Mytilus edulis: one gene and its partners. The protein of the gene in region 3 purifies or fractionates together with the protein of the main gene of each other region. This does not show direct contact. Links are inferred from orthologs where the notes say so. Each region holds a gene or a part of one and is shown on either strand. Other genes may lie near its edges. The genes, in order: condensin-2 complex subunit G2-like, E3 ubiquitin-protein ligase HECTD1-like and structural maintenance of chromosomes protein 2-like.

Evidence for each region.
Region 1: the proteins of structural maintenance of chromosomes protein 2-like (region 3) and condensin-2 complex subunit G2-like purify together in Homo sapiens (affinity purification with western blotting; 4 studies listed by BioGRID and IntAct, with this or other methods). This does not show direct contact. The link is inferred for Mytilus edulis from reciprocal best matches to the Homo sapiens genes SMC2 and NCAPG2.
Region 2: the proteins of structural maintenance of chromosomes protein 2-like (region 3) and E3 ubiquitin-protein ligase HECTD1-like purify together in Homo sapiens (affinity purification with mass spectrometry; 3 studies listed by BioGRID, with this or other methods). This does not show direct contact. The link is inferred for Mytilus edulis from reciprocal best matches to the Homo sapiens genes SMC2 and HECTD1.

Annotation. Positions count from the first base shown.
Region 1 is NC_092345.1:41,427,186-41,438,123, reverse strand, and holds the start of condensin-2 complex subunit G2-like, read right to left. Parts: upstream 4,115-10,938; 5' UTR 3,991-4,114; intron 1-3,990. UniProt on the Homo sapiens protein: Regulatory subunit of the condensin-2 complex, a complex which establishes mitotic chromosome architecture and is involved in physical rigidity of the chromatid axis.
Region 2 is NC_092346.1:80,550,198-80,561,313, forward strand, and holds the start of E3 ubiquitin-protein ligase HECTD1-like, read right to left. Parts: upstream 4,081-11,116; 5' UTR 3,652-4,080; coding exon 3,512-3,651; intron 2,180-3,511; coding exon 1,945-2,179; intron 698-1,944; coding exon 470-697; intron 1-469. UniProt on the Homo sapiens protein: E3 ubiquitin-protein ligase which accepts ubiquitin from an E2 ubiquitin-conjugating enzyme in the form of a thioester and then directly transfers the ubiquitin to targeted substrates.
Region 3 is NC_092344.1:125,105,484-125,115,771, reverse strand, and holds the start of structural maintenance of chromosomes protein 2-like, read left to right. Parts: upstream 1-5,158; 5' UTR 5,159-5,248; coding exon 5,249-5,416; intron 5,417-10,288. Other genes in the region: uncharacterized protein, read left to right, coding at 260-529, 1,204-2,340; probable ATP-dependent DNA helicase RecS, read right to left, coding at 2,359-3,424, 3,948-4,441. UniProt on the Homo sapiens protein: Central component of the condensin complex, a complex required for conversion of interphase chromatin into mitotic-like condense chromosomes.

The DNA of each region.
Region 1 (10,938 bases), on a different chromosome or scaffold from region 3:
GAACTCCCGATTTCTATTATGTAATCGAAGCCTTGAATGTTGTTCTATCTAATCATGCAACGTGGTTGTAAATTCACAATTTTATAAACAAAATACTCTGCCAGGACCGACGGGGAATTAAGTTTTGGCTGACCCAAGCAGACTAAAATATTGCCGGCCATCAGGTCCTGCACAGCAACCAGTTTTGCCGGACCTGCATAAATTCTGCCCCTTAGGTCTGACAGGTCCGACGATTAGTTGCATCTCTGTTTGTTACAATGTATGATAAAAATTAAAGTCAATGAACCATGACTGAAGGCTAATCAATCTCCATAGAAATGAGATGTGCCAATGGTAATACAGATGCATACCAAATACCATTGAATGCTTCTTTAAGTAATTTCATAGGGATGTAAAAGCTTTGACCGTGCATACATTTTTAGAATGAAGTGCTTCCGCGCATCATACAAAATGAACTTTGCTTTTTTATATTTGGTCAACGTTTTACACCCCAATGAATATAATAATAATAATAATAAATTCTTTATCTAAAGAGGGTAACTCAATTAGAACTAGTCTAATTTTCATTGAGGCCCTCACACAAAATACATGCATAAAGTTAACATTCATTCATTCATACATTAAAATACAATAGGGGAGATTCGTCTAATTGATGACACTTTTTAAAATCCGAAAGTTTGGATACCATAGAGGCCAATTGCGGACATACTGGTGGTTGCATTGGACAGGAAAGGATAGAGGGGTATCAAACGGACTATTTCCCGCGTTTTTATGTCACCTCTCTTGATTGGTAGATTGGAAATATCTAAAACCCGCGGAAATGCGCAGTCATGTAAATGCGGACATAGGGAGTTAAAATACGGACACCTTGTCGTCAAATGGAGAACACTTATTTTCTTTAACTACTCTCGCCATTCAAAACGAAATTACTATATACAATTACCTTTCATGAATACCCTTTCATTGCATCTAATCTTAAAGCATGTCTGAAAATAGGTTTCGCTCGTAAATTTGTAATACACGTGGAAAGGTGAAAAAATAATAATAAAAAGTCCCTCTTTTATTTAAATTTCTTGTATCAAAATTAGAGTATAGTAAAATAAAGTTAAACAGTTAAAGGAAGTATTGATAAAAAAAGAAATTTCAACTATTTATTTTATATTTCTATTAAGGTATAAAAATAATGAAAAGTAATTTTTCAATATGTATTTGCATTCTATTTGCTTTCGATTTTATCTTTTTTCACCCCAAAAACGTAAATTTAAGGAACAATTTTGAATGGTGACAAATAAGGGGAAGGAACTCCAGTTGTTTTATTTACGATCTAAAGCTAAGGTACTTGTTTATTAACAATGTGTTTGACACCAAAGCTGTCAAGTGAAGCCATGCACTAAATGAGTCACTTAATTTGACAGTTTACACAGCTAGATGAACTTTCTGTACATGGAAGAATTACGAATTTGTCGGTATTTCAAGGGAAAATCACTTATGAAATCAATCTGAAGGCTAAGAAATCCAGGTGAAAACGGGTCATTTTCAGAATTCCAGGGTTTTTCAATGACCCGGCGGGTGTGCCGGTTGATCCCTCAAAATTGTGAAATTCTCGGGTCACACCCGCAGAATACGTGTCAGTTGACAGTAGAAAAAATCAGACTGCCAAATGCATAATATTTGTAATATGAAGAATGAAATAAAAAACAAATCAATCCAAATCTTTATTGATATCATATTTATGTATCGGATTCGCATTATTACTGTATATATAGATACTAAGAGAATTTTGCGTATGTTCCACATCATGGTATTGACATTGCACCACTACACTTGTCCAAAAAATCTTGTGTCCGCATTTCAGCTATCATGTTTTTTTGGTAGTGTAAATGCGGACATTTGCTTTTATATATTTTGTAATCGTATGTAGACAAATCAGTAAAAAGAGTAAACAGAAATGTGTTCTTACATATAATACTCAATGCCTTTTTCTTTTCAACACATAAATTAAAAAAAAGATTTCCCAGAACTATCAATGAAACGACACTTCGAGTGAATATAAAATATTCATGATATTAAAACCGGCACATTTTGAAAGACCCGAATTTCTGGATAATGTAAATCGAATGTTCCGGAAATTAGGGTCCAATGAATCTTACCGATTTTAATATTTTATAATTACCGGAAGAGAGGTTTCATTGATAATTGTGGGAAATGTTTTTGAAACAAAATAAATATTTGCCCGACTCAAATGGAATCGTATCTTATTTTACCATTTCTTCTAGATATTTCTGGAAATATTTTACATCAATAAGCACAAAAAAGGTAAAAATTTTAAACCTGCAAAGAAAATTTTATGTCAAAATTAGATCTCAAAGTTCCCCCCAAAATTTGCTCTCAAACTCCAGACGTAAAAAATGGCTTCAGCATTAGGACGTCATAGGCAGTCCCAGAAAAAAATTAAAATAGCCTTGCCAGATGTCATAATTATTTGGACTAGGTTTAAGCGTGATGCGGGATTGCTGATTTTTTGTAGGCATGACATGTGAAAGTCAAATTATTGTGCCGTGAAAACGAGAAATGAAGTCTAACAGGACACAGGAAATTACAAAAAAAATGATAATTGCTTACGTACATAGTGTAAGCTGGATACGGGAATCTAACAAAACAGTAAGCAGAATCTGTGATCATAACCCCCACAACCAAGGGCGAACAGACTCTATGCCACAGGCACTTGTTACTGTCCATGGGAAGACCACTATCAACGTATATTTACGTTGATCAGTTGATAGTGGGTCTTCCCATGCCCATGGATAGAAACAAGTACCTGTGCGCTGTGACTATGCGGAGTACATAGAGGAAACAAACCATTTTAGTGGATAATTTAATATAATACAAATTTCTTTTAATTTTTAATATTTTTAATTTTTTCATGCCATTTCGTAGTCCAGATAATCATGCCGTCTTCTGAGGGTATTTTTATATTTGGATTTGCAGGAGGGCGTCCAAAAAAAATTATAAAATAGCCGTCCAAGGCGTCATAATTATTTGGACTAGCCATTTCGATAACCTAATTAAGGTTCATCATAACCTTTTGGCTAAAATGGCCGTATTTACACCCCAAATTTTACTCTGAGTACACACTAACCTATACACCTGCAACAGTTTTAAGGGATGGCAGGAACTAGATATATAAATTTTAAATGCATTTTATGTTTCAGAAAATTATAAACTTTTCTAGATTTTGCTATCCATTTTTTTTCGTTCCTGCTGAAGGTGCAAAAATTAACTAAGTAGCGAAAACGATTGAGAAGCTCCAGTCATATAATCAATGTTGTGAGTAGTATTGATTTAAATGGACAATAGATGGACAATAGACACCTGTAAACAATAGGTGATTTAACAGGTTTAAACTGTGTAACTGAGTGGACCGTATCAAATGAAACTCGGGTGTTTGTTTATTTTGCTATCTTCTGCAGACTGGAAAAAAATGAACATCAAAATCCAGGTAAGTTTTTAATTTTCTGAAACGTAGACTTCATATAACTTTTATATATCTAGTTCCTGCCGTGCCTTAAAACTTTCCTTGATGTACCAGTTTGTCTGTACTCATAGTAATTTTGGAGGTGTAAACACGGCCATATTTTTCAATTCCTTATGATGAACCTTAACCATTTTTTTCTTTTTTTTTCACTTAACACATTTATATAATTCTATAATATTTTTAAAGCGCCACCTACAATATCTAAGTACAAAGGAGTAACTACATTAGTGATAATAATTTTACAAGAGAGGATAAATTATTCACAAGAGAGATTACTCTGTCATCACGACAAAGATAATTTGAAGATTAACTATGGCCTATGCCATGGAAATTAAATTAGAAATGATTTATGATACACTCTCAGTTAGCTCTTTGATCATTTATAATCAGCTTTTATTCGTGGAGCAGTGACAGATATTCAGATCACAAAACAAAAACAAGAATTTTTTGTTTACTTTTTTCCAATGTTGATAAATTACTTGAATCTTCTAAAACGCGCCTCTCGTTTCCAGTCTCGTCGGGTCTCACCAATTACCAATTCAGTCTCAAATAGGGACAAAATCTGATACATGTTAACTCGTACCTTGAAGCTTCGGCCTCTCATACTCAACCAACTCGTACCAAATATTTTTCTGTGCGATGTGAAAATGTATAAGGTAATACTTTTAATTTTTAATTGTAAAAGTCAGTATTATTTTGTAAATTATCTACTAGATCATGTAGATTGTCTTCAAAACTGATTATTTGTCAAGTTGTTGAAGTCTGATCAATGAGTAAAAAGGTTAAACATAATATGTGTTGAATACAATTGAAGATACATTCCATATATCGCATTACACTATGAATACTATAGAAATTAAATCAGACCGCACGCGTTTCTAAACATTATTGAAAACCATATGTCCACGTTCACTATGCTTTTGATAGAAGTAGGTCTATTTCTATTCAGTATATATACTCATCAGTGATGAGTTAATTTTCATCTGATTTTTACATTGCGATGACTGTGAGGGCATTCCGATGTATAATGCCAAAGAGATTTGACTTTCGTTTTTGACTGGTAAACGATCGTATCAATATTTGTGTGTTTTTAAATTTATTTGTTATCACTTGATGTTGAGATAATCATGATAGACGATTGCATTTGCATCAGAAAATTTGTGTAGAGTAGTAGAATTCTTTTGTATATGGACTTATTTGATTCCAACTGACCATTAAGTTCATTCATTGTTCCTCCTCCGTGCAGCAATCAATTAATAGATATTTCTTCTTGAGTCATGACCACTCAATCTATCCTGTGATTGGTGGTGTATTGGCTTTTTGTAAACAATAGCTAGTGAGCTGATTTGTAAGTTACAATAACATCTCCATGCCTTATATATCATGTACTGTAGTAGTACGACGCTAGATTAAAACTGACGAGGAAAGGTAACACACGACCACCGAAAGCTTTATTATTGTGAAGCCCAGGTGGTCGTGTGCTTTAGCGGGACGGCTACAGTGCAGGCGATTTGGTGTCACGATAGCTCAGTAGCATGTATCTATATATATATATACAACTCGTCTAAACATCAACCCAACAATGTTAGATCTGTAAATTTGCTTTCGCAAATTTTTGGTTCTTCCCTCGCCTGGATTCGAAACCATGCTACTGAGATATCGTGACACCAAATCGCCTATATAGATATATATAGAGAATAATACATGGCAAAATCCGTATCATATGTCGTATCATCCCGAGACATCAATATCAGCCCAAGGGCCTTTAGGCTATGTATTTTTCATAGTTGCATTTAATGTGCCAAAAAATATGAAAACTTGACGTTCGTGACGTCACATTCAATATGAAAACTCGACGTTCGTGACGTCACATACCAAACAATGACGTCATTCAAAAAATTTACCTATTTTGAGGGAAAAAAAATTTAAGCAAAAAAAAAAAACCAATGTAAAAAAAAAAAAAAAGTAGGGGTGTGATAAAGGGTATGCGATAAAGGGTGCGCATCAAAGTTGCGCGATATGGATTAAACAGCAGGCTATTTATCACATATGCAAAACTACTGTATTTACTACTAAACATATGATAAATATATATATCGTCTAAACATCAACCCAACAATGTTAGATCTGTAAATTTGCTTTCGCAAATTTTTTGTTCTTCCCTCGCCAGGATTCGAACCCGTGCTACTGAAATATCGTGACACCAAATCGCCTGCACTGTAGCCGTCCCGCTAGATCACACGACCACCTGGGCTCCATAAAAATGAAGATTTCGGTGGCCGGGTTTTATCTTTCCACGTCAGTTTTAATCTAGCGTCGTACTACAGTACATGATATATAAGGTATTGAGATGTTATATATATATATATCATAAGCCCAATATTTATATTTATCATATGTTTAGTAGTAAATACAGTAGTTTTGCATATTTGATAAATAGCCTGCTGTTTAATCCATATCGCACAACTTTGATGAGCACCCTTTATCGCATACCCTTTATCACACCCCTACTTTTTTTTTTTTTTTTTTTTATACAGAAAGTCCGGTTCTATCTATGTAAGCTTAAGAAAAAATTTCCTCAAAATAGGTCCAATAGAACGGTCATTTGGGCGTGACGCAATTTATTGAATGACGTCATTGTTTGGTATGTGACGTCACGAACGTCAAGTTTTCATATTTTATATTTGCACACTAAGGGAGCTACCATTTGATTTTTATGGGGGGGGGGGGGGGGGGGGGGGCTAGGATGAAAAATTTTGTCCTTCATTTTTTTTTAGTTGTAATCTCTGTCCTGCCTTTTTATTGTCCCTTTAATAAAACATTTTCCTGTTTTCAATACTATATTTAAGTTGTTGAATTGTTTATAAGATGTTTTCGTTAATTATAAAATTATAGAGAACTCGATTAAGTATTTATATATACTGAAAAATTGAACTTAAACTCATGGCAGTATTACTACGACTGTTCTTCACTCTTTGCCATAAAAAAATACAACTAATCGAGTTTGCTTTAGTCGTTTTGAAGTTATGCGAATTTGCCAAAACATGGTTTCTCAATGAAATAAACATAACAGTTGTTGAAAAACTGGTCATTATTGTGATACAACCTTCGGCTCAGTCATTATCACTATCTTAGTCAATACCACCGTCCTGTGGGTAGTCCATATATCACGATAATGACCAGTTTTACAAGAACTATTATATAAGTAATAATTTAAAACAATTAAGAAATATTAAAAGCTATATTAAACCCCAAAAAAACTCATATTACAACAACCTGTTGATGGATAAGTTGAAATCTATTGATGATAAAAGTAAATTATTTTTTTATAAAGGACTTGAGCCAAATCTATTGATCCTTACCTCTCTAACCCAAACTTTGAATTTAGAAAATTAATCACAAAACTTAGAATCAGACCATTCAAGGAAGGCATTTTAAAATTCCTCGCGAAGAGAGACTTTGCAAAAAATGCAAAGTACTAGATGATCACCGGAAACATTTCTTAATAAATTGTTCTCATAATTCAAATATTAGATTAACATATTTTAATTGCATTAACAGAGAAAGTAATTCATTTGCTAATCTCACTGACAATGATAGAGTTATATATATACTTAACCCATCAACACCAACACAAGTGAATAAACTAGGATCCTTTATAAAAAAAAGTCAATGGAACTGAGGACAGGGGACCCTTTAATATTTACCTGAATTTATGTATATATATTGAGTTACTTAGTTATTGTCTTTATTTGTTTTTGTTGTTGTTATATGTCACAAACTGTATAGTTTATATGGCAATAAAACTTTGAATTGAATTGAATTGATATATATTATGCATACGTTGGGGCTATCTGGTCAATATCATTACAAAATGAATTCCCAGTAAAGTTTGCACGAGGGCAATAAAACATTCAAGTTTTTAAAAAAAATAACAAGCATTTAGGTGAAAATTACAGAGGGAATAATTTCTGTGCATGTCATCTTAAAACAAAAACAAATCAAGCTGGTTTGGTTTTGTCGTAAAGACAAGGTTTATTGCTTGTTAATCTCGGTATATATATCATAAATCGTGACAGTTTATCTTTTTAAAGATGACCTACCATTTTACTCCTTTAATAATTCTGACATTTTGTGTCATTCTTTCAAAAAACCATATCAATATTTGTAATTTAATATCTTTAATGTAAACAGAAATACACATATTATTTTAAAGGCATTGCCTGCTAGCAATTGATTATTGTTTAATAATCCAATTAAAATCAAGCATAAATATTTCATAAATACTCTGTATGTAGTATCATTGTCAAATATTCATTTGAAATCGATTTTAGCGATCATAGTTATGCACAAACAATAGACTTTAAAAAGGATTGTATATTTATTTATCAGAAATAGATTTACAATAATATATAGCTGAAATTTGTCTGTCGATATTGAGGCAATTAACACAGAAGAACATAATTGTTTATAGAAATTATCTATGTGAAATGCAGAACATGGAAACAGGACTAACACATTCGAATACCTTTTCCGAGAAAGAAGAACAGGAACACCGACAACATGGAAAGGTAGGGTACAAAAACAGAACACGTTACTCATCGAAAACAATGTCTCATTTTGAGATAATGGAATCTTGTGACAGACTCTCTAAACCAGAAGAAGAAACCGGATATACAATCAGAGGTCCGACTGCACATGATCATGTTTGCAAAGAACACAGTTTGATGCCAGCTAAAGCAAAATTCACTGGAGACAAAAAAATGAAATCCAAAGATATCCAATCACTTGTTGATAGGCTGTCTAACATAAGTGGTGTGCGATGTTCTAATCAGCCGGATATAAGGCCAGTCAGAGGTGTGGTCACCGGCAACTCATGGAGTAGATACGGAAGAAAGTGGACAAAGTCTTCTAAAAACTCTTTTGACGATTTAGCCAGGAAAGTTTACAATGTTTTAAGTGGGAAATTCTGAAATCAATGATCATAACAGTTCATAAAATTCATTTGTTATATTGAAAATAATTTTGCCCTTCTTTTGTGAAATATTAATTTTGTATTTTTTTCAGTTAGAGATCAGCTAAAAATGCGGTCTGATTATTTTCTATAGAAATTGAATGAAGGATAAATATACATGTATGTAAAACATTTCAACAACACAAACTCACTTAAACAGTTATCTGTATAAATATCTATATGATGGATAAGGTTATACCATACTTGCTCAGACTCGATCCACCCACATTGCAATACAGTTACTAGTTGGGAATACATTTTAAATGAAACTACAAATCACCGAAATGATGGTCAATATGTTACTAGGTTTACGAGGGATAAGGTGGACAACTTATTTTAAGCTCTAAAATGGAGAAAATCACTCTCGTTGATATTGTATACATACTCAAGGCAATTAATAATTAATAAATAGTTAAAATCAAATAAATAATAATGGAGTCATGTTTTACCAACGTGTTATGTCACAATAATGATATCTATTGCAAGCTAGTATCATCTTATGTTTGGAAATGTAAGAATTATAAATATGCTAAATATACATTTTTTATATTAAAAATGTACTATACGCCGATATAGCAACAATAACTGCAAAATTAATGACTTAGACCAGAAAAGAAATTTCGAAGGTGAAATATGGTTAAAATCAATCTAATCGGAAAGTTTCAAGATAATTCTTTTTGTAAATAATAGATAAAGTCACATCTTAGCATAATTCTTAGTTTTCTTACGTAAAGAATAATTAATTCCTTTAGTCATTTCAATTAGCGCCTATTCAACTTAAAACTTAAACGACATATTTGTGTTACACGTACTGTGTTATTCTTTTGTTAATCCTTAAAAGTGCTTTTGTATTACTTTATTGTCATTCGGTAATCCTGATTTTCTATCAAACTTGGACAGAAGCTTATTTATGATCAAAAGCTTGAATCTAGGAGTAAATTTTGTAAAAAAAAGATTTCCTGATCTTCCGTATATTACATGTACTTCAAACCTATACTAAATTCGTCCATAGATATAAAGATTTATTTTTGAAGTTTGGTTGTACCTATAGAAAACTTATTTCAAACGGGATATCACATCCTTATTTTATGGAGACACTGTTTTCCGAGCCCGGAAATTTAAAAACCAACCAGATAAATTTATGAACTATCGAAAAGGTTACCAATTCAACATTGTAATTAGATCTTTGAATATTTTTTTTACTGGTATTAATATTGATTTTGTTATCGGTAAATTTAAATCAAACTAAATATCATTGTTAAAAAAATATGCATGGCTCCCCAATCTGTTGGTACTTGTATCTCGGCATTATTGCACTATGTCATGTTTATCTCTGACTGTTTATTGCGTCTTTACACGTAAATCCATAACTGAATGTTGGATGTGTATAATATGTACTGATTGATAATTTTGTCTTAGATGCATGTTTTTTTTTTTGGTTGTTATTGCCTTTAAACTAGCTGTCATCTGTTTTTAACTACATGTACTTACTAATGTACATAGTTTTTCTAAGAATCTTCTTACAACCAAATATAGTTTATAGTATCTAGATTTATTTCTTATACCCCCCCCCCCCCCTTTCTTGTTGAGCCTTCGACTAACAGCAAAAGTAGGCGAGACACTTGGTTCTGCGGAACATAAAATAACATGCACATTGCAATGCGGGTCGGATAAATAGCCACTCGGTACTTTGATAAATTAAAGTTGATTTGCAACATCATAACGTGCCAATATCTTCGTCTTATTTAGAACAACCTATTCAATTTAACCCGCAAAAATGACAATAAGATAACTGTCCATCAACTGAGACCAAATGACGCGAAAGTTAACAAACATGGGTCACCGTATGGCATACAACAATGAGAAACACCCATACGGTATAACAAGCTAAACAAGGCCCCGAAATGAAAATATAAAAAAATATTAACGACCTGATTTATGTTTAAAATGAAAAACGAAAAACAAATATGATACAAAGCAACAACATACAACCACCGATTAACAGGCTCCTTGATTCGGTACTGGCAAACACATTATGGCGGGGTTGAACGTGTTTACAAGCGCCCCTTCCCCCCAAAAAAACAAAAACTAAAAAAAACTGGTATAACAGCACCACATAAAAACTATAACAAGAGGCTCTCAAGAGCCTGAATCGCTCACCTGAATTTTTTTGGTTTAATCTCTCATCAATGATTATTTTGGCTTTTCAATTTATTTAAATGTTCTTTGAATCGTCCTATTTTCTTCAAAAGCAAAAAAAAATCATTTTCTCCTATGTTCTATTTTAGCCATAGGAGCTATGTTTCTTGACATACAAGGAAATGAAATATAAAATTTATACTAGATACTCTGAAACTCTGAAACTCATTTAGCCTAAGTTTGGCCGAAA
Region 2 (11,116 bases), on a different chromosome or scaffold from region 3:
ATATGTAAGCATTCTCACATGCTTTTTTATATGAAATGCTTGAAGTTTCTATATAATGATCATGATAATTAACACTGTCATTTTAACACGGTAAAATGTCCTTATCCATGGTACAATGTATTGCTGTGTGTGTGTTTATTCTACATTGGCTAAAGGTAAAGGGGGAGGGTCAAAATCTCACAAAACATGTTCAACCATACTACATTTTTGAGCTTGAAGGCCCATTGGTGGACTTGGGCTGTTTTCTGCTCTTTGTTGGGGTTGTTGTCTCTTTGGCACATTTTCATAAAAATTAAAATGTCTGAGAAGTTAGGTACTTCAACTATTTTAATGATATTTGAACATTATAAAATTTAAAGGGATTTGTATAAAGTTATAACCCTGGAGGCCACGCCCAATGCATTATTCAATTTATTATGCAAGTAGATTGGCTATTATTTCCAGTTGGTCGTAAAATATATAGACTTACAAATTGATCATCATGTTCTAGAAGAGTAGACAGTGACTCTACACAAGTCTCCAAGGATTGGTCTTGGGGTTCCATCCTACCACAGAGACGAGAAACTACAGACATTGAAGAGTGTAAGGTATCCTTATGAACCTGTGATCCATGTTCTCTGATAAAGGTGAGAACACACTGTAGTCCTCCAGCATCAAAGACAGCTCCTGATTCTCTGGTACACATTCTCTCCATAACCTATAGAATATAGTTAGAATGGTGATTCATGTAAAGTTCTATTTAAAAACTGAGGACAGAGGGACAAATGATGAACTCTAACATAGTGCCTAGTAGTCTACTAAAAAGTTAATAAATTTTTTCAAGACATTTATTCATCCATTAATCTCAAGCAGTTAAACTCATAATTATAACTAATATAATGAAATATGACGAAAAATAAAACTTAAACGATGCATGTTGGATTTGTAGTTTTTATTAAATCAATAAAAATTATGATAATTGTTCATTACAAATTATATAATAGACTTCTTTCTAGGTATTTCAAATCTTGGTGTAGGGACATATTTAAAAAAATGTTTGTATGCCAAAGCCAGAGTGCCATAAAAAAAAGATTGTGCCCAAAAGGTAGGTTTTTTTGTTTGTTTGGTTATTTTTGTTTTTTTTTAAATGTTAATGGACTTTTTAATAGTAAACTCAGTAAAAGAATTGTATATTTACAAATTTTATGAAATTCACATTCTACTACATGTAATTACTAAAAAGGATTAATAAAACAAAATCTTTTGTAAAATAAATAATATATCAATCTTGTGGCCAAATCAAAAAGGTTATCTGTCTTATATAAGGTTAATGAACTGACAAGAACTTGTTCTCCAATTTTATTATGTACAACAATGTAATCATTGTATTTAAGTTTAGTTATCACATTTAATCAAGGCTTATTGTCTAAAATAAACAACAGGACTTATTCAAATCTCTGAAGAAAGGGATTTAAAACAGATGCTTCATAATCAGGGTCTATCACAGCATAACATGAAAAAATACTCAACAGTAAATTACAAATGTAACAAAAATACAATGTCACTCATCACAGTTACATATGCATATTTTCACTTAATTCATTGGATTTGGCAAGAATGAAATACTTCAAAAGCTTAACTTACAACTTTTTTTTTTAACATAATGATATCAAGACATTTTAAACACTTATTGCACTGATTTACCTACATGTACAGTACATGTAACATTATCTAAAGAAGACCTTATAATTCTAATTCTAGGACGGATTTATCAAGTCTGACTGTAACATTGTAATTCCAAGGGTACCTGTTAAACTTCATACATGTACAATGTGGTTATAAGGAATTTCAAATACAATTGATATAAAATTAAAAGGGATCAGACTTGGCAAAAACCATTTATAAATAATGTAAATTTAAACATGGTGAAAAACATGGGTGATTTTCATAAGCATTTACATGTACCTTTATACATTGTTCAGACAAATCTCTACTGGTCCTTGATGACATTTCAACAATCACCAGTCTATTGCATAAAGCTTTAATAGCGCCATCTACAGCAACAATACGTCTGGTGCACTCTGCCGATACATCTAAGTAGTAAGTAATGGCCCTTGCTGTCACCTCAAGCACGTTGTCTGGAGCACATTCATCCAAGAAGATACGACATAAAGCTGGGAGAAATGTCCTTGGTGGACAGCTGAAAAAAAAAACAGTTTCTTAAAAACATGTACATGTACATGTTAACACAGAATTATAGAGTTAAAACTTTAATAGACCTGTCCTTCAAAAGATGTCTGATTTTCTAGACATAAGGCCACACCAATTTGATTTGTAGTGCTTTCGACAAATGCTCCAAAAAATATATGGCAAGCAAGCAAAATTTGTTTGATTGTAATTTATTTTTGTTTGACCAATGAGTTTCTTTAAGGCGACTGCTCTACAAGCATGACAAGTGAAGAGAGCAGCAATACTGCAATATACTTTTTTTTAAATTGTGCGAGTAAGAATTTATGTCCATGTTAAAACTGTGTTACTTCATAGAAAAACAAGGAGAAGCGTGCTAAATTGCATATAGTTATATTTACTAGTGCCTGTACCACAACTGACTTTCCTGTCTTGCTGTGGTTTAGTTAATTTTGATTGTACATGTACATGTAACCCTTTTCACTTTGAATTATTTTTCCTCAATTCAAATTTATTTTCCACTGTATATCCGATTTCAGGGATTGATCAGAATATATTTCAGCCATGATGAGAACATTGACAATTTTTAGGGTATCTAAAATGTACATGTACATGTATTTGAAAGTTTAAGTACCTGGACATGTACATTGTATGAAATTTCTTAAGCCTTATCAGAATGCCACTACTTCATGTACTTTCGCTTTCAACTTCCAACTGCAGCATTACACATAAGCTTCCAAACTTTGTTTTATTTCTGTCACAGTGACTCAATTCATTTAATTCAATTCAAAGCTTTAGTTATAGTTGGCATGATACATAACAAATAAACAGAGAGCTTTTATAACCGACATATCCATACATTTACATAATAATCATACACAATACTAATAATAAAACATAAAAGACATAGAACATACATTTCATGCACATTGACATGTAGTTCTACATGTGACAATATATTCAGTTTGGTTATAATATATGTTATACATGTACATGTTACAGTGTTATCCCCAGATATTTCATGTAGCATCCTGGGTAACAGGGGAAATCGAAACACCATCATGTATCTAAAAAATATAGAATCACACCCATAACACAACCTATAAGACAGTCTTCACGCTGAACTGCTAAATCTACAGGCCTACAGCTCAATTTTTGAAATTTTTTTAGTTAGATTCTGTTGGCCTGTAGGTCTGATTTTTACAGGCCTGAGAGCAATTTTACCAGCCTGGGCTGCCACTCGTCGTGAAGACTGATAAGATAACCATTGCAGATATTATCACATAACCATGATATGAAAAGGTCCTGGGGAGAACACTGCATGAATAAATTATATAAATTTTACCTTTCAAATACTCTGTCAACATTGTCAGACATCAACAACAGCATACACAGTTGTTCTAGGGCAATCTGTTGCATATCTCTTTCGTCTCCCTGTCCCATTTGCAGCCATTCTAACAACGTCTCTGGGTCAAAGTCTGCCATTGTGTCTGGGGGTCTGGTCTGGCTTACCTTTGTCTAAACTTAGTTTAGACCTCTAAGGTTGAAACCCCAGCAGGGTAACCCCCTTTTTTGGTAAGTTCAGATAAATAACTTTACTCCAACCTATCACGTTTATGAGTACAATAAGTGACACGGAAATTCTTTGTGACTAATGAATGAGCACTCGAAAGTGCATGCATTCGACGCAAGGAAATTATCCGATCATACAGCTTGAAACCTTCGGACTTTCTTCCGTGTCAAATGACTGAACACATGGACTGGAACAAACTCTTGTGTCCTTTTACAGAAATTTCAAAACATTTCCACTAAGCTATCTACTACTTTAGTTATTAAAAGAAACAAAGGAAGGCACTTTTGTTTTGCTCTTCACCTTCATAAACTATTTATAGCCTCGTTGTGATCGCAACATCCGGTTCATAATCTAAACACCGGAAATGGCTAAAAAGTTAATTTCCCGCGGATTATAATTTAATCTTTGCTTTGTAAACAAACAAATAAAAGCTTCCTAAAATAATTGTACTTCATCATTTTTCAACATTTCTCTTTACTTTTTTTACAACATATCCACTTTTAAAAAAAAACACGAGAAAATTGTATTTAAATTCAGCATTTTTTTGTCACCATGTGAAAAACTTGAATGTTTTAAATGGATTACGGACACTTGGTGGTCTATTCAAATCATTTGTTAGTTTTGACTTTTCCACCCTCTACAGAAATAAAGAAAAAACGTTAATTTTTTTCTCATGGACAACATTTTAATATACATGTACTTTCGACAATATTATTGACAAGTTGTTGGCTTTCCTACAATGAGGGGGGATAAGACCTTTATCGGGACTCCGGGATCGGGTGTTTTTAAGCTCGGGATTTCGGGAGTTACTACTTCGGGATCCGGGAATTTTTTTTTTCAAATTTCGGGATCCGGGATTTAACTTTATTTAAATTCGGGACCTCGGCATTTCGTGTTTTTAAGCCCGGGATTTCGGGATCAGGACCCCTCCTACCCCCCCCCCCCCCCCCCCCTATAATGGGCACAAATTGCAACCCTTTCATGGTATCGGGTCAGTTCGCCCAAATAACATGTTCGTCCTGGGTCCGTTTGCTCTGAGTTCGTTCGCCCTACTTAAAAAAAAATAAACCAGGGTATTGGAGTTGATATTCAGATAATTATATGGTTTATATTCTTGAAATTTATGAAAACATGGAAATATTTAAAAGTTGTTGGCTAGTTTAGGATAATTTTAATTAACTAATTGTTCAATGACTTGATAATTCTCACTGATTGTTGTGATACTTGTCTTTTGATGGATTAATAATAACAACAGAGACATATATATGTAAAATTGAGAAAGGAAATGGTGAATATGTCAAAGCGACAACCACCCGACCATAGAGCAAACAACAGCCGAAGGCAACCAATGGGTCTTCAATGTAGCGAGAATTCCCGCACCCGTAGGTGTCCTTCAGCTGGCCCCTAAAATATGCATAATAATACAGTGATAATGGACGTCATACTAAACTCCGAATTATACACAAGAAACTAAAATTTAAAATCATACAAGACTAACAAAGGCCAGAGGCTCCTGACTTGGGACAGGCGCAAAATTGCGGCGGGGTTAAACATGTTTATGAGATCTCAACCCTCCCCCTATACCTCTAGCCAATGTAGAAAAGTAAAAGAATAACAATACGCACATTAAAATTCAGTTCAAGAGAAGTCCGAGTCTGATGTCAAAAGATGTAACAAAAGAAAATAAATAAAATGACAATAATACATAAATAACAACAGACTACTAGCAGTTAACTGACATGCCAGCTCCAGACCTCAATTAAACTGATTGAAAGATTATGTCTTCATCATATGAATATCAGGTACAATCCCTCCCGTTAGGGGTTTAGTATCATACTATCATAAAATATATGAGAAGAACATAACCCGTGTCATGCCAACAACTGTTTTTTTAGAAATAAATGTGTTTAGTTCCGATGCAAAGACCCTATCAGTGAATCAATGTTAAAGCCAAAATATGCAATCTTTAATGACCTGACAACAGTATCGTAACTATATCCCCTTTTAATAAGTCTATTTAAAGGTTTTGTTAGTTTCTGAGGAGAATACTGACATTTTTGTGCTTTATAAAGAATATTTCCATAAAATTTTGGATGTGAAATACCTGAACGTATAAGATGTCTGAATGTTGAGTTATATTTACGAATTATTTCCTTATACCGGTGATAAAATTTAGTAAATGTTTTGACCAGTTTACTAAATTTTTGATATGTGTATATATGTCTCTGATAACAACAAACGTTTACTTTTGTTTTGATAAATAAAAACAATGATGTACAAACTGTAAATCATGAAAAAGGATTAAATAGTTCATTTATAATACTCGGAGACTAGTCTCAGTTATACTACATTAAAATAAAATTGAATATATACAATTTGTTTGTTAACAAATATCTGAGACTACGTCGAGACGCGACGGCCATAGGATGTGTCGGCCATACCCCCACATCGTCCATGGGACATATATCGGCCACACATTGTGAGACGTATCGTCCACACTTTAATTTTTTTTGATTGAGGTTATAACATAAAATATAATAATAGAATAAATATTTATTCATATAAATAACAGAAATATAATTTATTTAGTAATTTTTTTCTGCACAAGAGATCTACTGTGCACCTTTATTTTATTCTTGTAAGAGTTATCTTTGCTCAGTTGATCATCATCACTCGTTGGGGCCATATTATGTATGTATATTGTTTATTTCTTCATTATCATTTATAAAGACTTTCTGAAGAATCAATTTTATCGTAATGTGATATAAAGGCATCTTATTTTATATGAAGTTTAAACTTTAGGAATGTTGACTGTCGCTGTCGATGACGATATATAAACACAAGCACATGTTACAGATCTTTTTATTATAACTTTTAAAAACTATATTATTCTAAACATTTAACAATAAAAATCTTCTCAATCTCAATCTTGGTCAAATTTAAAACAGGACTCAGTGTAAAGGTTAACTGCTAAGGAAGGCAATTCATTCGAGTTATATTTGTCATGATCATCACATGGTTTAATAATTCTGTATTTTTCTCTTGATTACCTTGTTTTATATTTCATAACTAATCTTATAGTTATAATTTTGACAGAAATTAGTCTCCCATTCGGATATAGTCATTCATTCCTTTCATAGCAGTTTTTTTTTGTATTGTTGTTAATCCCAGTTTATGACAAACCGCAGTAAAGATCCTTCGAAAGTCAATTCAATTGATAAATTTGATAGACTTATCATAACCTTGATGATAATTTTGTTATAACTTGAGTTAAATTACACTATTGAAATTTACTGAAGGGAGAAGACACTATACATTTATTACTTTGGGATACCATACGGCATATTTTGTAAATAGTGAACAAAAAGGTAAAACATGCTACACAGTGTAACACATGATCCGTATGCTGGAGTTTCTTATTGACAACATATTTGTTGAATTTGAAGGTAGACTTTTTCAACAAATTATCGGCATTCCTGTGGGAACGAACTGTGTGCCTCTCCTTGCCGACCTTTTCTTGCTTTCATATGAATCGGAGTTCCTTCGGACACTTTAAAAAAACAAGAAGATCAAAGAAGCCATGTCATTAATTCCACATTCAGATATATTGATGATGTTCTTTCCATTAACAATACGAACTTTTCTCATTGGATTCCATTAATATATCCCACAGGATCGATACTGTTACTTCCGCCTCATTTTTAGACTTATACCTAGAATTCGACATACACAGTCATTTCAGTTCCACAATCTATCACAAACGAGACGATTTCAATTTTGAAATTATCAATTTCCCCCATGCACCTTAGTAGCAATAAAACATGTACCCACTTCAGCTGCATATGGGATATACATTTCCCAGCTTATTCGGTATCCAAGATCTTGCACCTCCTACTCAGACTTTGTAAAACGTCACCAGTGTCTGAGCAGAAAGTTGATGAACAAGGGCCACGGTATGTCAAAGAACGTGTCGTCCTTTTTTTTCAAAAAAAGGTTCATCGGAAGGTACAAAGACCTTGTTGATAAATATTCCGTATCAACATCACAAATAATACACGATGGTCTTAAAGTAAAAATTATGGGTACTGACGTTGTTTATCATCGTACTAACGTGTTATAGTATTCTTTTATTTGTCTTGATGTATATAACTTTTACTGTTTAGTCTTTTTTGGGGGAATATCCTTTTGACGTGACTCTGTACTTTTACATGCTGTCATTGTATTATTGTTCTATGCTATTTTTGTATTCTTGTCTTTCATTTTTGCTAATCCATTCGAAATGATAAAAACAATAAGTATCAAAGGTACCAGACTTATAATTTGATACACCAAACGCGCGTTTGAGCTTTCGTATATGATAGACTAATCGGTGACGCTCAGATCACAATAGTTAGAAAGTTAAATAAGTATAAAGTTGAAAGGTATTGAGGACCCAAAATTAAAAAAAAGTTGTGCCAAATACGGCTAGGGTAATCTATGCCTTGGATAAGAAAATCCTTAATGTTTCGAATAATTCATACTTTAGCCAACAGTTAATTTACAAAAAGGACCATTTGATGTTATCCATGTCAACACCGAAGTGTTGACTACTGGGCTGGATAATCTCGGGGACGAAACGTCCACCAGCATTTCATTATTGTTAATTGTTTTTTAATGATGGTGTTCCCTTTGCTTCTTCTTGTAATTTGTATATGTTACAGATATTGAAAAAAAAGTTTGACATTTTAGATGTCCGATTCGGCCATTTTATATATTGAGTAATTTATTTTAGGCATTTTACAAAATGCTTGGAAAAATAGAAAGGACTGAAATTATTTTATTAAATGTATAAGTTAAACAAGAGTGCACACGCTGAAATGTCTCGCCTTCTTTACTAATCATTGATATTATGTTGATAGTCCTAAATATAAAGCTTTATTACAACTGTCACATAAACTCAACATTAACCAAGAAAACTAAACATTGATCAGTGAACCATGAAAATGATGTCAAGGTCAGATGATCCATGCCAGGCAGACATGTACAGATCACAATTCTTCCATACAACAAATATAGTTGACCTATTGCTTATAAATTAAGAAAAACAGACCAAAACACAAATACTTAACTATAACCACTGAACCATGAAAACGAGGTCAAGGTCAAATAAAATCTGCACGACTGACATATAGATCATAAAATATTTCCATACACCAAATATACTAGACCTATTGCATATAGTATTAGAAAAATAGACCAAAACTCAAAAACTTAACTTTGACCACTGAACCATGAAAATGAGGTCAAGGTCAGATGACAACTGTCAGCTAGACATGTACACCTTACAATCATTCCATACACCAAATATAGAAGACATATTGCATATAGTATAAGAAAAACAGACCAAAACACAAAAACTTAATTATAACCACTGAACCATGAAAATAAGGTCAAGGTCAGATGACACCTGCCAGTTGGACATGTACACCTTACAGTCCTTCCATACACCAAATATACTAGACCTATTGCTAATAGAATCTGAGATATGGACTTGACCACCAAAACTTAACCTTGTTTACTGATCCATGAAATGAGGTCGAGGTCAAGTGAAAACTGTCTGACGGGCATGAGGACCTTGCAAGATACGCACATTCCAAAAAGAGTTATCCTATTGATTATAATAAGAGAGAATTTAACATTACAAAAAATCTTAAACTTTTTTTCAAGTAGTCACTGAACCATGAAAATGACGCCAAGGACATTGGACATGTGACTGACGGAAAGTTCGTAACATGAGGCATCTACATACAAAGTATGAAGCATCCAGGTCTTCCACCTTCTAAAATATAAATCTTTTAAGAAGTAAGCTAACACCGACCGCCGCCACCGGATCACTATCTCTATGTCGAGCTTTCTGCAACAAAAGTTGCAGGCTCGACAAAAATGAGCTACTGCAAATATTGAACCTGAGAACATTTTGATCTTCGACAATAACTGAATTTTAACGCTTGAATATTTTAAGAATCTAAAGTTTAAAAATAATTTCTTCAGAATTACTGAAAATTAACAGCCCTTAACTAGACAATTCATTAGCTATTTCATATTATGTTTCGATGGCATGATCTTTTACACATCTGTCCTGATTATTTGGGAAATACATTAATTGTTTATTGTTTTGGTAAAATCCAGACCATGATACATTCAGCTCTGTTACTAAATATTGTTTCTGATAAAACACCCGAAGTTCAAAATTATGGGTTTTTGTTTTTCGTGTATTCCAAACATTTCACAAAATAAACATGGTCATGGTTCTGCTGATTTTCACCTTTTGGTTTATAAGCATCTAAGATGCAATTCTTTGCATGTCTGGTGATATATTCATACTGTAGGCGATGCTTATTATATCGATACACCCGGTGTCGCTTCATATTGACTTCATGCAATCCTGCAAGTTTGCGTTTGTAACCTTACGTGATTTATCCCTTCTTGGTTGATTTACAACATTTTAACATCGATAAATTATACTATTGCCTAAATTCTTCAGATTGTAAAGACCAAAGAGTTACCATGAGGCAATACAGATGGAAGACTATCATTTATGAATCAGAACCATATTCGGCATTGTGTGGAGATTCTCATGGAGAATCATTTTGGTTGTATAGGATAATAGGTACTTACTTGTACAAAACTCACATACAAGTATATGTATTAGACATTTCATATAACGCCCGTCATCGTTAGACAATTTATAAAATTGCCTGAATTTAGAAAATGTCTATGCCCGTATGTATTCAGTGACGTTTTGAACTTGAATGAATGCGATAATATATGCATAACTGATAAAGTATCAAGTCGGGGATTGTTGATACCAGGAATCATGGATAACTTAAAACTTGTCCTAAATGTTTTAATTCTTTTTATAAATACAAAGATATTGCTTGGAAGTTTGGCTTGGCTCTACTTGTACAATTTTATCACAAAAAAAAAATCACAAAAAAACTGAACTCCAAGGAAAATTCAAAAACGGAAAGTCCTTAATCAAATGGCGAAATCAATAGATAAATAAAGGCAACAGTAGTATACCGCTGTTCGAAACTTATAAATCGATTGAGAGAAAAAAAAAGCCGTGTTGCAAACTAAAAACTGAGGGAAAGGCATCAAATATAAGAAGAGAACAACAAGTTAACACACCATTAAAATGGTACACACACAGAAACGAACTATAATATAACAATGGTCATTTTCCTGTCTTGGTACAGGACATTTTATGAAAAAAATGGTGGGTTGAACCTGGTTTTTGTGGCATGCCAAACCTCCCGCTTTTATGGCAATGTTAAATATAATATTAAAATGACAACAGGACTACAATACAAAGAAATGGGAGAACATATAGGACAG
Region 3 (10,288 bases):
ATAACCCTAAAAAGTAATAATATGCTTAACTGGGCTCATTGTTGAAGGTCGTACAGTAACATAGAGTTGTTAATTTCAAAGTCATTTGGTCTCTTGTGGAGTGGTCTCATAGGCAATCATAACCACATCTTTTTTTTTGATATATTAAAAAGTATTAATACTTAAGTACAAAACATATAATAATTTTTTTACTATACATGCATATAAGAATTATATTTGATTGTGTTTAATTTCATGTACCTCATTTTGCTTTTAATAGATAAATATGGGAGTTTTGATGAAAAGTGAGCAATACAACGAAGATATGACAGACATTTGTGAATTTATGCACAAGTATGTACCTGGACACAATGAAACAGATGACTGGACAAAACAGCCACAAAAAGTCTTGAGTGGAGGAGACTATTTAACTTTTGAGAGATACAAACAGGCACAGTCATCCAAACGAAATGGTCGAACTCCAACAAAAAGATTAGAGGGACTGGTACCTAAAATGGAAGAATTTCACAACCAGGGAGAGTTGCTAAAGGTAATGTCTACAATACTCTAAGATGCATGATTTTTTATTAGTTGTTAGTGGCTTTGAACTAGCTGTCAGATAACTGAGAGTACTCTCAGAAATGTTCCTAGGGTCTTTTTGTTGTCGGGATGTACAAGTACCTGGCCACGTCTAATTGTATTTTTTCCATCTGATGAGTTAAGCCTTTTTCAACTGATTTTTATAGTTTGTTCTTATGTTGTACTGTTATACCACTGTCCCAGGTTAGGGGGAGGGATGGGATCCCGCTTACATGTTTAACCCCGCCACATTATTTATGTATGTGCCTGTCCCAAGTCAGGAGCCTGTAATTTAGTGGTTGTCGTTTGTTTATGTGTTACATATGTGTTTTGTTTTACATTGTCAATACGGGGCCTTTTATAGCTGACAATGCGGTATGGGCTTTGCTCATTGTTGAAGGCCGTACAGTGACCTATAGTTGTTAATGTCTGTGTCATTTTGGTCTCTTGTTGACAGTTGTCTTATTGGTAATCATACCACATCTTCTTTTTTATATCTACATAAGAAAGATAATTTGAAATAGATTAAGTTGTAAGTTGATATTTATTTTGAATATATTTTTTCAGAAAAACACTTTTATTTTTTGAGAAATGCATATTTTTTCATTGTTAAACCCGTAATCTGTCTGATTGTTTCAATTTCAGGTCATTTGGAAGTTGCTCTACTCAACCTCGTCAGCTAGAGACCAGGGAACTCTGTATGCAGCACGCAATACCATAAATGCAAGAAATGTTACCCAAGATCCGGCTGATGATTTTTATGCAGCTTCTGATCTTGTTGAGAAAGTTACCACAGCATATATTATAACAGGTGGTCTTACTCATTTTGGAATGGAAAGTATAGACTCTTTACCCTGTAAAAATGTGTATGAGGGTGCAGTTGGGAATACAAATGAAATGAAAAAATATATTTTTGATCAGGCACGCTCGTTTGTTAAGACATTCACATTGCCAGAAATACCAAAACTTCCAGAATATGGGCCAAATTGCAATACGTATAATTGTAGATACTGTGGAAAAAAGTACAAACAACCACATTCCCTCAGAAAACACGAATCCTCCATTCATGGTCATTATGACCCCCTTTTTGCTAAGGAAAAAGTATCAAGTGGCAAGGATAACGAAAATGAATCTGATGGAGTTAGTGCATATACAAAGTTGGTTTTAACATTGGGTTTATTACGAATGGATCACAACGATGCAATTCATATGGGTGATGGATCAAGGATGTTGAGAATTGACCAGTTCCTTGTTTTGTATTATAAATATTGTCATTGTACAAAATACGCCTTTGGTACTTTGGAAACTATAGCCCAAACTGAAGTTCTGTTAACAGAACGCCAGGCACACAGACTGATATGGAACAGAACTGTAAAACATAAGGGGGACGCAAACACAAATCATCCTAATGATTTAGATGTAGAACATTGTAATAAGGTATTTAAAGATTCTGCCCATAGTTACAGAGGTGTTTTTACTGAGAAAGTGGTTTCGAGAGTCAGTAAGAGTGCTATGAAAGTCCACGAAATTATCAAACAGTTTGACAAAATGTGCAACGTGCATGTTCCATCAGGACGACATAAAACATGTGACAAGGAAATTGACATTATAACTTTGGTCAGACAATTCCAGGCATGTAATTTATTCGATTTCATTCCTGGCCGATCACATTATGCCTATCCAAACATGAAGGAAAATCCCCTTACAGAGCTAGACATGGAGTTTGTTAGAGACTGGATTGGTGCTAGTTTAAAAAAGTTTCAAAATAAACATTTCTATTAGCAGAACAATTTTATTGTTTCAAAACATTTCATCATCTGAACTGTAAATGACTTGTGGTTTTCTTGTTGACGATTCTAAAACATCACTGTCACTATCACTTGAAAACATATCATCCAGTTCTGTAATGTCATTGTCATCGTTATCATCACTATCATCATTGTCCTCATTTGACATAATAGCTGTGTTTATTTTAGGGAGAACTTGATTGCAAGTGTTTGTACATACACATTCATCTTCACAACTGCATGCACATTTGCACGAGAGACGACAAATATCACAACAAAAGTGAGGTATATGTGCATGTTCAACAATTGTTTTAAATATATTTAGAATAAACGCCCGTCTACAGGTTTTAGATTTAACATATTCTTTCATAGATGGGAATATATTTTGACTTCCTAAACATCTTTTGTAAGTTAGTAGAATAGCATTGCATTGTTGTGAAGGTTCCCTACCAGCACGACCAGATTCTTGTACATAGTCATCAACATCATTAGCTGGACCATAATGTATAACTGTATCCACACCTTTTACATCTAGACCCATGCTAAAGGATGTTGAACATAGAACAACTCTAATATTACCGTTTGGATTCATGTAGGATGTACAAATAAAATCTTTTACGTCATCATCGGTTTTCATGTGGAACATGTCAAAAAGGCGATTTCTGTTATCATTTGGTCCTCCCTCTTTGAAGTCTATGTAAGCATCATGCTTAAGGGATGTTTCAAGATATTCATATACGTCTGCCATGTGTTTGATTTGCCTAAAGAATATAATCATCCTTGAAGTGGCCTGCTTATATCCTCTTAATAAATTTACTAACCATCTAAAATTGGTGCAAATATCATCTGAAGGTAAATTATGTACCCAGTATGTTACATTCTTTTTGTCGGGATTTACCATAATCTCAGTGCAGTTATCCATACAAAGTTGCTTTTTAATGACAGCTTTGGTTTCCTCTGTAGCTGTTGCTGTTAGAGCCACTACTGGTACATGACCCCCAACAAGTGAACGAATTTCGTCAAGTCGGCCATAACATGGTCTATATGCCAATTTCTTCTTCTTTTTATCTGGAAGCCCACTGAAAAAATTAAAATTAATTAATCATATTGCAATATAAATCTGCATAGGTCTCATAAAAATGCCTAAGCATTACAACGAAGTATTTCATAAGAAAAATTATGTAAGTACCATAGAAAACATATTTATAAAATCTTAATTATTGTAGATATCCAACAGTCCAGTAGCAAATATTTCATACATCTTTCAAAACATCACAATATGAATTGAAAGTTTTTAATTTGGATACCATTGGCAGAATAATCTTTCATAATAATAACAGAAATATTCAAATAAAAAGGTGATTAATTATTAAAAGTAAAATTAAATGAGAATGTTTTGAATAAATAAACATTAAATAGTTATTGCATGTACAGATATATATACATTTATAAATATATGATGTTCTTTTGTATGCATGTACTGTTTTTAAGATATACATATTTATTCTTATGTATGTTATAGCTTATGTTAGAGCGATTCAGATGATTTGTTTTTCTACTTTAGTATTATACATTATTATATGTACAAAAATAAATACTTACAACTTTTTTATGCAGTGAGCTTCATCTACAAATACTGTCTTGATAAATTTTTTCTTTGCCAAATCCAATAGTAATTTTCTTTCATGTCCAATAAGTGACTCTGGACTGGAGAAAATAATGTCAATTTTGCCATCCTTTACATCTACTAAGGAAAGATTTGTTAGGCTGTCTTCAAAATTCGATGGTGAGGTAATGTCCTTCAAATATACTGCTTTAATCCCTTTTCTATTCAATGATTGAGTCTGTGTACGCATTAAAGATGTTAGAGGCGAAATAACAAGTACAATACACATATCATTCTTCTGTAAATATTTAAATACAAAAGGTGCTATTTCAAAAGTTAGTGATTTGCCACTTCCAGTTGGAGAACAGAAAAATACATCTTTGCCTGCCAAAAAGCTTTCTACAACTTTTCTCTGGTTAATTTTGATTTCAGTAAATGACAACTTTTGTAATCCAAAATCTATTGCAGCAGATATGACATCTGTATCCATTTTGATGTAAGAATCATAAGAAAAGTGAAATTGTAATCTACTTGAGATAAAATATGGGAGAACAGCATGGGATATATACACATGACAGTCTAATTATCTATTATCAGCAGATGTGAAATAATAACCTCTTACCGACCAGTATCTGGTCGGTATAAAATGTTATTATACAAGTCCCTTTCTCCAAGGGCAATCAGTAGGCTGGCACTTATCAGTAAACATATAAATTAGTAAGAGAGAAATATTAGAAAGGGAATTGTAGCAAGTCTAAGTGCCACTAAATGTATCATTATACTATAGTCAGTTGAACTAAATTAAGCCAGCTCCCCCAGTGGCGGATGCAGGAATTTTCGAAAGGGGGGGTGCTAGCCCAGGGCAAAGGGGGGGTGCAGGGGGGGTGCAAACATATGTCCCGATTCAAATGCATTGATCGGCCAAAATAAAGGGGGGGTGCGGACCCCCGGAACCCCCCCTCTGGATCCGCCACTGTCCCCAATTGCTAGTGAATATAATGTGTCTGTTCCCACATCACGATGTTATAAAATCATGACGTCCATGCAATTTTATAATTGAATTATTCCGAATTGTCAAACGGCTCAATCCATATAACCGAAAAAGGTCCTCCTATCCAGCACGGTTGGAAAATATTTTATCCGGAAATAGTATCTCGAGTACAACCGTCAATTGTTTTGATTCGTATTATTAATGTCTTACTTCCGTTCAGTCATGCGCGTACATTATTATTTTTGAGCGCCAGTTTGAAATGAAAACAGACAGATGATTTAAAAACAACATTTACAACTTTTGGCAATGCATATTAAATCTATGGTCGTAGACGGCTTTAAGTCGTATGCTCAAAGAACAGAAATCAACGGATTTGATCCCCTTTTTAACGCTATAACAGGGTTAAATGGCAGTGGAAAATCAAATATTCTGGATTCTATTTGCTTCTTGCTAGGAATCACAAACCTTTCTCATGTAAGTTTGTTTCTTTTCATTAATGAGCAAATATTTTAATTTACACAAGCTCACACGAATGTTAACACGATGTACTGTGGATATCTTTAATCCTCTATCTTTTGGCCGTATGGCACAACTGTTCTCATTGGTGCATTTTAATAGAAATAATTTCTATCCTGGTCCAGTTGGAAGGCAAACAATTTAATGGCTTCTAAGGTCAAGACATTGGTCAAGTGATAAAAGGTCAGAGTTTACGATATTTTGGTAAACGTGCATGCCTCATGGTTTTTGGACTCGTAACGACTAACGTGTAGCCACTTTATAACGGTTAATGTGATTGGATGATCTTCAAAAATCAATAATAAAATTGCTAATAAATGATTGGATACGAAAATGTGTCAGCTATTACTTTGATGAAAAAATGCGGTCTTACTAATTAGCGACAAGAAGCGACAAGAAAACATTTTTTTTAAATTAAAATTAATTATTGCAATAAATAATAAAAGAATATGCAAAAGAAAATAATTTTAGCGACAAGAAAGTTTAAATTGATAGAAAAAAATGAAACATTATTTACATAATATTTTATCATCTATTATGAATAACAGCCAGTATTACGTTTAATTATTGTATTATGAGATTACTTTTCCTTGTGTTTTAGAACATACTATTTATCTTATAATTTGTTTTTGGAAAATGACGCAGTCATTGTTCCATAACTGCCGACCTGAACTTCATTACATTGCTCTGCCTACCGCGCTTGGTTTCGTATTTCCTATTTTCCAAACAAACTGGAACCTGCTTGTGTTATCATTATGCATCGTTGTGTAGTATTAAACCAGCCAGGACCCAGTTTACACTGGTTTTTGCTTGTATTCCACTACACTCGAACAAAGTGTTGTAGTTTGACGGGAACCAGTTTTAGAATTTGTAAACTACAAAACGTAATCGGTTATTGTTCATTCCGTTTTGGTGTTTCATACCGACTTATATGGTTTGAATAAGCTTAAGACCATTTAAACATTAATGTGATAGGTATATTAAAGATTGTTTTACAAAAGGATTGAACTGTTTTACTTTCAAAGTCGTACTATAGGGATGTCTGTCATATACGGATTTCCACTCTCACCGGTTAATTTCTTCTTTTACACGTGCTTTGGAAACTTCCTGTTTAATCGCAAGTTTTAAAATTGTTTTTGAGTGAATTAAACTTATTTTAACAATCATGAAGCGTTCCAGAATCATTTTAAAGCAGTTTCTTCTTCTCTTTGATGATGGAAAATAGGTTTTCTCAAGAAAATACCGCAAACGATCGCAGAGGAATTGAAACGTACAAGTCAAGTCGGCACCTGGTTAAATTGGCATCTAGTCAAATCGGCACCTATTCGACGTCAATTCGGCATCCAATAATATTTGATATAATATTTTCTATTCAATTAATTAATTACTGTTACCAAGTACATAGTGAATATGTTGTTGTGTATTTCGGTAAACCACGAAACGAAAGTGAATATGTAGTGTATAAAGGTAAACAACGAAGCCCTTACCAAAGCTGTTGTTTTAACAATTAGACAATTACACTTAGACAATTTGTGTAATTGTAAAAACAAGTCAATTATTAAAATAAAATGGAAAACTATGAGTCCCTTTCAATAAATCAAACTTTCATGCCAAATAATTAGCAAATTTAAGGTGTTTGTTTTTCAGTAAAGTTTAAACAGCATTAAACCAACAATCCTGTAAAATGCTCAACTGGTTAAAATAATGCAGAAAAATACACAATATCTCATGTATTAGTCCAAATAATTATGACGTCTGGCAAGGCTATTTTATTATTTTTCTGGGACGCCTTCCTACGACGTTCAGGTGCCAATTTAACTAGGTGCCAGTTTGACTAGAATTCTTTGACAAATGTTTGAAACTATCTGAGTTTCATTAGACCTTTGATAGCAGTAACAAAAAGATTATTTACTTAATATTTTGTGGGAGAAGGGGGTTCAGACTGTGTGGCATCAGGTCTGTTTGTGCCCAATACATTTTCGCACCCTACACGTTCGCACATTCACACTCTACTCATTCATGCCCAATTTTAATTCAAATTCAAGTTGAATAATTGGAAAATTATGGTTGTTGTTTTAAATTGCTTTGGTGTAAATACTGAATGTATTTATAGCTTGGTATGAGTAAAACATTGAAGATTTTAAAGGAAAAAACACAAAAGATAATTGTTTTTAACAGCTTGGTCCCATTGATCTGAAACAACGAAACAATAAAACATAGAAACCAAAATATAGCAATCCACTAATATAACCAAAACATGATAAAATTTATTCAACACGCAGAAACAAACATAGTCAGAATCTCACTTCATTTTGAAACAAGTCAATGAAACAAGTTATAGCAATACACTAACCAAAACATGATTAAGAGTTATTCAACACAAAATAAAACGTTGACAAAATACCACTTTATTTAGAAAGGATTATTATTATTTTTAGCAATACCTTATCCAAAACATAATTAAGATTTATTCAACACAAAAAAAAAAATTGCTGTCTCACTTTATTTTGAGACAATGACAACAATTATACTTATAAGAAAACACTTGCTTACATAGTTATTAAACACAAAACCAATTAAGATTGGGTGTGAACATGTAGGGTGTGAAAGTGAAAGGGGTGAAAATGAGTGGGCGCAAACTTGAATGGAAGCAAACGGACTCAGATTCAGACTATGTACCAGTGAGAAATATACAAGCCTTTCTACGGTATTTATTTGTACAATTCAGCTAGTCTTGACCTATTCATTTGTCTTAAAAAACCAGCCAGTTGTCACCTTCACTTCACACACACACACATATACGAATATCAATTATATGCTTACGATACATGTTGCATTGTTAAACTAATTACGGTATGTGAAAATCAAGACTTGCATAAAAACTATCCCTATATTAGAGACAGTGGCGTCATTTTTCTTCAGAGCTTTCAGCTCTTTGATTTAAAACTCTTTTTGTGCAAGATATATTAAGCTCGCAAAATGAATTATTTGTGCATCATTGTCCTGAAAATATTGACACAAATTTTGAAATACAAAGAACTGAAATCAAACAGGAGGAAAAGAAATTGAAATGTAAATGTTTTACACTTAGAGCATAGTATTAAGCAAATGAATCCGTGAAAATATTATATTCCATTAGGCCAACTAAAATTAATTAGTAGATTTTCATCCACATTTTTGAAAAAAATGGGGCGGGTGGGAGGATTTTATTTTTTAATTTTTATTTCAAAATTTGAAACAGGAAGTTTGGAGGGAAACACAATTTTTGACGGTTACCGGAAACGGAGATGAACAAATCCGGAAATCGAAAATTTTTCAAAATAACAAAAATCGGGGCGGGACGATTTCAGAGGGGCGGGCGGGGATGAAAATCTACCAATTAATTTTAATTGGCCTTATGCCCGCTCCATATATATCTCCATTCGATTATTCATACTTTGACTTTGATGAAAACAGATACATACATTATCTTATACATATTCTTCATATTTAAAAATAAAAAAAAAAGAAGCTCAATCTCTTTCTTCTTCACAAATGTTAAATTTCTTCATCTACCAATATACTACAGTGTTCCAGCTAGCATGAAATGGAGGGGCTCCGCGCCCCGCCCCCGAAATTTTGCGCCCCTCTGCATTTTTTAAGGGCCCCTCTGTGCCCTTTTGAAAAAAAGTTAAAAAAAACCGATCTTTTTTCATCATATCGTCGCCATTTTGTTGAGTTCTTTATACACACACTTCATTAAGACAACAGATTAAAATTGTTGACACTTGTTACCTGTATATAATCACCTATTTGATTGGAGTCAATTACTTAATCGGGTGAAATTTACGACCCTGTCTAATCCCTTTGCCCTGAAGCACCAAACATCGAAGTTAAATGAATTGATTATTTTAACACCTGACGATGCAAAATAGAATTTATAAAATAAATGTGAACGGTGTTCATTTCTAATGTATTTGTTATTTATAAAATAACGTTCATTTAACACGCAAAATGCCGACGAAAGAAAAAAAAATTTGACCAACTCGGAAATGACAAGAAGAAAATATCAAACACTTGTCAGTCTATTACATCTTTTTTCAAAAATAATGACCATCAAAAGTAAAAAAATAATTTGATTCTTTACCTTTATGAAAAATCGAGAAGAAGAAAGGTTTCTATCAAATATCGCAATTGTTCTTCTATTGTAAATTCCGCCGATTACGGAGCACTCGAAAGTCCGATTTTTATATAATTTTTTCTTAAATTGAAGTTCGTTTTGACTAACTTTAATATTGATATTATTAAATACGCTCAACATGAAGAAAACAGAGATGCTTGTTGAATTGATAATAAACTTACAAAATTGAAATAATTTATTATTGTGCCGATTACGGAGCTCTCGAAAGTCCGATTTTTGTATCAATTTTCTTATTGAAATCACAGACACTTGTTTCAATCCATTGGAAGACCCCCATCAACGTATATTTCCGTAAATATACGTTGATAGGGGGTCTTCCAATATGAATAGAAACAAGTGTCTGTGATTGAAATCAGTTTTGACCAACTTATAGATTTTATTAGATACGCTCAACATTAAATATACGGAGATGCTTGTTGAATTGAACAGACAACAGTGAAACAATGTATGGTTATACAGAGATAGAAACTCTCCTTATTCAATAACAGGACTTTATAGCTCTTGTGTCGTCAGCAGAACTTCCAGATCGTTCCTTATCTAGTCTGCTAGAGCTATTTCATTCACCTTGTCATTAGGATAAAAACCTATGATCTTTATGTACCCTCTTCTTGCAAAACTATTCAGTGTTGCAATATGACATGTACAACCAC